2 linked regions of the Arabidopsis thaliana genome follow. The protein of the gene in region 2 interacts with the protein of the main gene of each other region in a pairwise test. Each region holds a gene or a part of one and is shown on either strand. Other genes may lie near its edges. The genes, in order: UBC29 and AT3G60300.

Region 1 (3,784 bases), on a different chromosome or scaffold from region 2:
ATAACCCTTTTCTGGTGGATCTCAGTATTAATAAGAAGAAGAGGAGTGAAAGTTAATAAGAGAGAACTGTCATGTTGCTTTCTCGTCCATTCCTCTCTATCTTTTAATTATTTCTTTATAAGATCATATATATATATATATATATATATATATATATATATATATATATATATATTAGATAAACCCCGTTTAAATAGGCGAATATAAAAAACATATATAATTTTTCAAATAATAATTGAATTCTAATAGCAATGTACACTTTTTCATTTTATCTAAATATTTTAAAACCAAAATTTAATTTTATCCATTCTATTTTGCAATAATTTAACTATATATTTCATGAAAATATACTGAATTTTAATTCTATATATTTCATTTTAATGGATAAGAGCTGAAAAAATATTTCTACATATTTCATCTTCGTGTTTTAATTCTTTATGATATTTAAATTTTAAATAGTAACCCACACACGTTTTCAATATTTAGTGTTCTAACTCTTATTTCAATCTATCTATTCTCCAAAAATATCGTTAGATAACGTAAGTTATTTTTGTTGTTTACTAAATAACTAGGCTTAAACTTTAAATATTAGTAACTTGTCCTAAATTTTTTACACAAACATGACTATAATTAATTCTCATTTATCTTTGATACTATTGAGTTTTCCCATTATAACCTTTATCTATGCATCTCACTATTTTATGTGTTGTTTGAAATCTATATTTTAGAGTTATTTTAACAAAATAAAAAGAAAAATAACAAAAATTTCGACAAAATACACAAAAAAACATATTTGAACGGTCCTTTAAAAAAAACAAATTCGCTAATAATATGAATTATTTTATTATATAAAATATAATTAAATTTTTTGATTATATAAATAATTTTTGTGATTTATGTATATATTTTATTTTCCCGATAGGGTTAGAAGATTTTTTATATATTAACAAAATTAGATTTAATACATGTCGATATCTCATCAATCATATGAGTTAACAACTTTGAAAACTCTACTTTATATATTATATATGTTTGTATTAAAATTATAACAATTTCTTCTTCTTCTTTTTTTATTACAAATAAGACCAAACCAAAATAAAAAGGAAAAAAAGAGGAATTGTGAGCTTTAAAACAAGGCATACTTCTGGGTCCAGCTTCGAGCCATGGCTTCATATTTGGTCTTGTCAGTTTTGTATATGTGAGCTATCTCTGGCACCAGAGGGTCGTCAGGGTTTGGATCTGTTAGAAGAGAGCATATAGAGAGAAGCACCTATAATACCAAAATGTTAGTAATTTGTGTTACCTATTGGAGCTTCTTGGTTATATACCAAATCTGATATATGGAATTATAGAAAATATTGACAAATAACTAAATACATATATAGAATTTCAAACCTTAGAAATGGTAAGGGCAGGGCTCCATTGGTCTTTGAGAATGTCCAAACATATGTTTCCATTACTGTTGATGTTTGGGTGAAACACTTTGGTTCTGAATACAACCTGATTTTATCAAACAAACATAACAACAAGAGTAAAGAAGAAGAAAAAGATTGAAAATAAAGATCAAAACTTAAGGTTCCAAAAGATCATAAACGATCCAATATTTAATGTTGGTTTTGTGCCTTTTGGTTATTGGATTTAAGAAGTAGATTAAAAAACAAAAAAATTGTTGAGAAAGTTGTTACCTTGGGAGGTTTAAAAGGATAATCAGGAGGGAAATGAATATTGACAAGGAAAACACCTCCGGAGTAAGGACTTTCATTCGGACCCATTATAGTAGCTTGCCAGTGGAACATATCTTCTCCTGTTGGACCTAAAAATCCCAAACCAAGGAGAAAGGAAATATCAAAATCTTTAGAAAAAATTTCTGATACATGGCTTATATTGTATTAAGAACAAATTGTGATCCTTTACCTGCACTGCATGATACAGGAGGGTCTCTTTGCAACTCCTTCAATTCTTTCAATATCCGTCTCGTTGCCATCAGGTTGCTGAGTGTTTGATATAATGGAAAGTAGCACTACAAAGAAGTATGTGAAAAAAAATATGAGTGGTTTGTGAAGAGAAGGAGAATGAGAGTTGTGTTTTTAAAGCGTGAACCGTAAGCAAAGATTTGTGATTCTCTTGCAAACAGGAATGCTTGCACTATTGCATTTATCATTGTTTAAGTAAAGATTTACCATTGTAAAGTCTCTTTTTAGCCGCCCGCTTTGCCCATAAAGGTAATGGAGAAAGATCCATTCTTTTGTTCTGATTCTGAAAGAGAGACGTGCCTTGAAGTGGATGGTCTTACGTACATGCTTACTGTAATATACCATATCTATTGAACGGTCTATAATGGGATTTGATAAAGTCTGAGAATCAGAATAACTTAACATAAAGAATGGTTATTACAATATCCTTTGTTCTTAATCTTATTGTCCACGTTCACTGGACCAGCAAAGTGATGGGTGATGAGCATCATGTTCAACAAATATAATCATAAATCATAACATACATTTGATGAGGTAAAATAGTTATTGAAAACTTATAGGACCCATTTCAAAAGTTTCTTAAGATTATAGGCCCATGTATCATTAGGAAAAAAAATTATAGGCCCTATTTACATACTTTAAAATTTTACAATAAAAAATTTACAAATCAGAGTGGCGTCGAGTGAGGAACACTCCACAAATCAGTGATGCATATATTATTTCCTTATTTTAAAGATTTATATCACAACATATCGTAGAGATCGTCATTGATCAACCTATATATGTAAATGTAAATCATTGCCTTTCAATCTAAGTATAACCTTCAAGCCTCTGTTTATTTCAGACTTATTAGGTCTTTTGAATATTGCTATAAGAAGAAACTCCACAGCTGTTAGTCCAAAGTTAATGTACATGCATGCTACGTGATTTGCCCAACCGATATTTTATGATGGTGATTACGGGAGGAAAATAATTCTCAACAATAGTTGGTCTCGATTTTTTAAAAGACGATTAATTGATTACTTAAAAAAATAGCCATTTTTTTTGTAACAAATGTTGTTTGCTTTGCTTTCAATCTTCAACCACACGGTCAACACATTTATGTATTTTACGTAAAAGAAGCATACCAAAGCTTTTACAATTTTTGCCGTTATGATATTTAAAGTTAGAAATAAGCTAAAGGTTTAAACGATGATAATCCAAATTACAGCAAAAAAATTTACTCAACTTGTAGACAAAGAATAATAACTAGATAACAGGTTACACAAATTTTTGTTAGATCTCTCATGGATTTAATCCACATTTCCACAATTAAAGAAGAACCAAAAGTGGTGTTTATAATGAACATAATAAAATAAAATAAAATCATTGGTTTCGTATGAACCATTTTTTTTTGGTGTAATACGCACCTTCTCAACATAAGCATTGGCTCACATTTCTTTTTGGTGGTGATTGAGAGAAGTCATTGTGTGTATACCCGCCAAATTAGGCTCTTCAACCAAAAACCTTAAAATTAGAAAATTCAACGAAAACAAAATGAAAGGAGGAAATAAGGAAATAAAAGGGAGAGTTATTGGAAGTTTTATTTACAAACAAAATGTGGAATCTCAAATTGAGAATACGTGAATTTCTCTGAAACCTTATGTTCTCTGCGAAACATTCTCTTATTTCATTTTCTTTCTCTAAAGTTTTTATTTCTCTGACAAGGAAGATATCCCTTTAGGTGGATTCTTGTTTAAATTTAAAAATCCTCAAGAAGAAGAAGAAGAAGAAGAAGATAGTCAAATGAAAATACATTCTTCTGATCATTC
Region 2 (4,977 bases):
AACAAACAAAAGTTAAAATCTTCAGATAACTCTAGGATAAGCTAAATCAAACGCACCATTTCCCCACAGTTTCTCAATAATATCCTTAGAGATTTCGATCAATTCTTCAGAGCAGCCAGGTAAATTGGAGCTCCCAAACTGTAATGTTTCCTCGTTTCGATACCTAATTACCTTACAATTGCTTGAAGATGATAAGGCGCAAACAATTGTTCGTACCATAAACTCAATTGCCGAATCAAAAACCTGAATTTTAATAAGAAAATCACTCACAAGTAAGAACTCAGCTACGTAGAAACAATGCAAGTCCAGGATAGATATGATACTAACCTGAGGTGCCTTGAAGCACATTATAGATAACGCTGCGTCCACAACCCTGACCCCAGAATCCTCGCAGCCGATATCCAGAGTCAGAGATCGGTTAAGCTCCGAGATAGCTAGTCCCATAGAAGAAGTAGACTCTTCCGCTTCTTCTTCTTCTTCGAATAATTCATCTCCGTTCTGAAGCCTGTAAGCAAGAGCGGCCAAGAGATCGGCGACTGCAGACGGAGAGGGCATCGAAAAGATGAGCAGAATCAATCGCCGGCGATGTAGATACTCGGAAATTACAAATGGCTCGGAACCGGTTAAGCCAAATATTTGTAATGCCCACTCAGATCATAAACCGGTTGAGGTATGAGTAGTTATGAAGTATGAACTTAATTAACACTTTGACGAAAAAAAAAAGAAAGTAAGATATTAAGCCCAAGCCCAATTGATAGTGAGGCCCAATTATGAGACGACACCATCTTTTTTTTTAAAGCGGTTTGTATTTTTGTACTTGCTATTTTCCTAAAGCTACTTTATCAGAAACAAATATGCTCACAGAAATGTATTTTCGTTGGTAATATGCTCACAATATATATATATCTTGTGTTTGAGTTTGAGTTTGATGTATCACACAAGATTAGCATAAATTATTTGTCTCCTTCTCTGGCTCTCTGCACCCATTGTCTCGTCGGTTTTCTTGGATCTTGCGAATTCGGCTTCCTTTCATTGACAGTAGGTCCCCGGCCTCTGCTTCTGCCTCTGCCTCTCCATCTCCCTCGACCTCTCCTGTTGGTGGAGCTGCTAGAGTTTGTCTCTGATTCAGCTTCTTTGGGTTCCTCTTCTCCTTGTTCTTGGCTTTCACCAGCTTCTTCTTCTTCGTTTCGTGACGTTGATGCATGAGCTGGTGGAGGAAGATACATACCGGGCACCACCGATATGTTTTTCTTCGGTTGAACCAAACCACCCTTTTCTTCCTGCGTCTTTAGAATAGACTCAAACCGCTCTCTTCTTATGTTCTCTGAATCTGACTGGAGCAGCGGGTCTTGGTCCTTGCCTGGTATTAAACTAGAGTCCTACGTGTAAGCCAAATTGTGAATTGAGGGGTTAGATCAATGAAAGGCACTGGATTGAATCCGAAGTTGATGGCTCACTCACCTGTAGAGATGATTGAGCACCAACTAAGTCAAGAACATGTTCAATGTCACTCGAGTGAAAAATTTTGCGGCACACTGGACAGTTTCCCAAGCTTTTATCTGCTGATCCAGAATTACCTGCAATACTTGTTCATTCAGATTACTTTTTCAGTAGTTTCCGTCAAAAAAAGACCTTATGATACAAACCTTCTCGAGCAGTTGATCCTCTACGCATATGTAAAGTGTCACCAGATTTCGAATCAGCCTCTTCCTGTGCATGAAGCCAATTCCACCACCTAATGATGCACTCACTGATCACTTGAAATCATTAAAGAACAATTAGACACCTTAAACATTTGGAATACAATCCCAACATAAGAAAGAGAATTGTAACTGAGGCTAACTATTCATTACCAGTGGAAACAATGAAAACAAGACATCAGCTTCATAAATGGCATTTGTTTACTCCCGCCATCCTCAGGGAATAACGGATACAAACACAGTGGACAATCTCCCTCCGGGTGATTCATAATTGTGAGCCTCTCCACTGCTTCCTAGAAACATATATTTTTAGTATACACTACATGACATTCTAATCTTAATCAAGATTGCATATGTAAATCCACGCACATACACACATCGTCTGCTCGTGATTCAGAAAACTCTACTTTTTCTTCTGCATACGACTTATTTCCTTTTAATTACACTAAATCTACCAGTCGATTATTTTTCATCAAGGAAAAGAAGTCACATTCTGAGATTTGCAGTAGCATGGTGCAATGAAGGAGAATTGCTCCACATACAGTACAGTAGAATAGAAGAAAATATATAGAGTAGTTACCTCACAAAGTTCTACAAGCATTAAAGAAGATGATAGTTGAGAAGCTTTCTCTTGCACTATGCCAATCAAAAGCTTTTGCCTTTGCTCGTCAAGACCCTTGGATTCAATCAGACTAATCCGAGGTGGTTCATCTGGATACTGTAATAACAAAAGAAGATACTTTAGCTTAATGATTCTCTACGCAAAGCTCCAGGATAATGACAACATTGATGACAAATCTACCTTAGAACCTGCTTGGAATCTAACAACGGCTTCCACAAACTGCAGAGCAGAAACAATGTTATACATCAAACATCAGATCATAGAGAAAAAAAAATTCAGAGGATCACTGAGTTCTTGCAACCAAAAAAAAAAAAAAACTTGAAAGCAAATTTTGGGCAAATCGAAGTCACATCAAATCATACAACAAAAGCAATTAAATTTTTCTACTTCTTAAGATCGAATTACTTATATGGATGATCGCCAAATCTGACAATCTCATTGCGTAAATTCTGGAGTTTTCAGATAGTTCTCGATTCCGAAGAACAAATTGGGGGGAAAAAAAAACCTGCTGAGAAGAGATTTCGGCGGTACGGGGCTTGATATGGAGGTGAAGATGAGGAGGATACGAATCCAGTATAACGCAGTCTTCGCTGTAAACTGCTTCTAGAGCTTCCACTTCCATAGCTACCTCTTCCTCCGTCATTGTTTAGAAGAGGAAGAGGAAGAGGCCGCACAGAGACGGCGAAGAAGAAGCAGACTTTTGTTTTTTCACTAATAGTTTTCATTATATATTTTATTGTAGCTTCCTAAAATATCTGAAACGGCCCAATACTATATAATAATTCTGATTTTGTCCAAATTAAATAGTTTTTTCTCAAATTCACCCTTTTTCCCTAACTTCTAATCCCCGAAGTTTCTACATTCTCGATAAGTAAATGTTAAAACATATCTGTTAAAAAGAGTAAATATGAAAAAGATTAGGAATAAAACAAATATAAAAAAAAGACGTAAGCGATGCCGGAGTTAAATTTTACCGGGAATCTGCCGACGGGGGACCAAGAGGCTGTGGCCGTACATACTTAGAGAACTTGACGGTAAGCTGTTTTTAATTCTGAGAAGTTTTATTTTTCTGTGTTTGTTGGAACGAAATCAAGCTTATTTAACAGATTTTGTACGATTTATGTCGTTGAATCGAGCATTTTACTTCCTTGTTTCGATACGTGGCTGGTTTGTGAACATGTTTGATTCCCTGTATTGTAAAGATGGAGAATTTAAGCTGTTAAATGTTTGGTAATTGTTCACATCTCATTTCATTGTCTGTGTTATCTGGTTGATTTTTTTTTTTTTTGTTCTCTCTATAAGCTTCAGGACAATTCATGTTTATATAGAGTTTGAAGAATGTCTTGGAACTTATTTGAGATTTGATAAGTCTTAACCCTTACTGTTTTGATCCATTTATCAAACTTTGCTCTTAGATGAGAAACTAATATGAATCTAGCATAAGGATACACTTATATGACAACTAAATATACTTTTATGTGATATAAACAAGGACTATTCACTTGCACAAGATAGTCATAGATTAAATACAAGATGCATGCAACTAGGTCCAAATAATCAACCATCGGAATTGCCGTGTCGAGTTATATGACACCATCTTCAGAGGTTTTTCTTTCTGAGTGTATCAATGAATCTTTTCTGTGTAATATCGTTTCTGGATATATAATCAAGAAAATCGTTGAAGCTGAATTCTCCATATGCAGCTGGTTTATTTTCATTGACGAGCTGAGTTGCTGGACTTATTTTCTTGTGCATAGGTAGACTGTGAAGACTTGCAAAAGAGAGCCGCTTGTAATCTTTGTTCACTGTTACACGATGAACCACACTCTTGTATATGCCATTGCTCATCACTTCTACCTGATCTCCCAACTGGACTATCAGAGCTCCTTCAATATACGGCACACAAACCCAGTTGTTGTTGCAGTCCTTTATCTGCAGCCCTTCGCTACTCTGGAGTAAGATTGTCAGCGAGCCATAGTCCGAGTGTGGTGGCATTCCCAAGGCAATCTCGGGTTCAGGACAAGCTGGATAGCAGTTTACCGCCATGACTTGTGAGCCTTCTTCTATTTCTTCCTGTAAGTAATTTTTCTCCAGTCCTAGACTTTCTGAGATAGCTTCAATTAGTTGCTTATGTAAAACATGCGTTGCTTCTGCGTATTTCCCCACCTTTTCCCTGATAGGAAAATGATATTTCGAGATGATCAAATCAGTTCTGAGTCACATTCTTTAGATACAAATTTCTTGCAAATTCTGAAACATCTATTGAGAAATTGGATTCTTAGACCAGTAAAAAGAGAACAAATTTGAGTTATTATCAGATAGTGAAGTTGGCCTAGATAGGTTTACTTACTTGTAGCAGGGAGGATTGGAAGGCCACAAATTGATCCAGTTTGAGAGAGGATGGGAGTAATGTTTTATGAAATCTCTCCAGTAATGAACTCTGTCTGTTGAATGGTTTATGCTGGTACCATACCTTACTGGCTCCTGAAAATTATCAGAAACCAGATGCATCTTCTCATCGGCAGGTAAGTCAAAGAACCTTGTAGCTGAATCTTGTGCATCTTTCACCACTGCTGATGATATTCCATGGTTTATAACCTGTAGAGAAGATCAGAGTAATGTAATTAATAAGAGGGATGAAAATGACACTAGTGT

What was found.
Region 1: the proteins of AT3G60300 (region 2) and UBC29 interact in a two-hybrid assay, tested with the Arabidopsis thaliana proteins (one large-scale study listed by BioGRID).

Annotation. Positions count from the first base shown.
Region 1 is NC_003071.7:7,266,080-7,269,863, reverse strand, and holds UBC29 (ubiquitin-conjugating enzyme 29), read right to left. Parts: upstream 2,143-3,784; 5' UTR 1,985-2,142; coding exon 1,915-1,984; intron 1,814-1,914; coding exon 1,686-1,813; intron 1,501-1,685; coding exon 1,396-1,500; intron 1,271-1,395; coding exon 1,127-1,270; 3' UTR 809-1,126; downstream 1-808. Other genes in the region: AT2G16730 (glycosyl hydrolase family 35 protein), read left to right, coding at 3,759-3,784. UniProt on the Arabidopsis thaliana protein: Accepts the ubiquitin from the E1 complex and catalyzes its covalent attachment to other proteins.
Region 2 is NC_003074.8:22,283,359-22,288,335, reverse strand, and holds AT3G60300 (RWD domain-containing protein), read right to left. Parts: upstream 3,074-4,977; 5' UTR 2,966-3,073; coding exon 2,807-2,965; intron 2,640-2,806; coding exon 2,610-2,639; intron 2,542-2,609; coding exon 2,503-2,541; intron 2,419-2,502; coding exon 2,281-2,418; intron 1,994-2,280; coding exon 1,854-1,993; intron 1,751-1,853; coding exon 1,647-1,750; intron 1,578-1,646; coding exon 1,462-1,577; intron 1,380-1,461; coding exon 954-1,379; 3' UTR 825-953; downstream 1-824. Other genes in the region: AT3G60310 (acyl-CoA synthetase family protein), read right to left, coding at 57-243, 328-555; AT3G60290 (2-oxoglutarate (2OG) and Fe(II)-dependent oxygenase superfamily protein), read right to left, coding at 3,922-4,495, 4,673-4,920.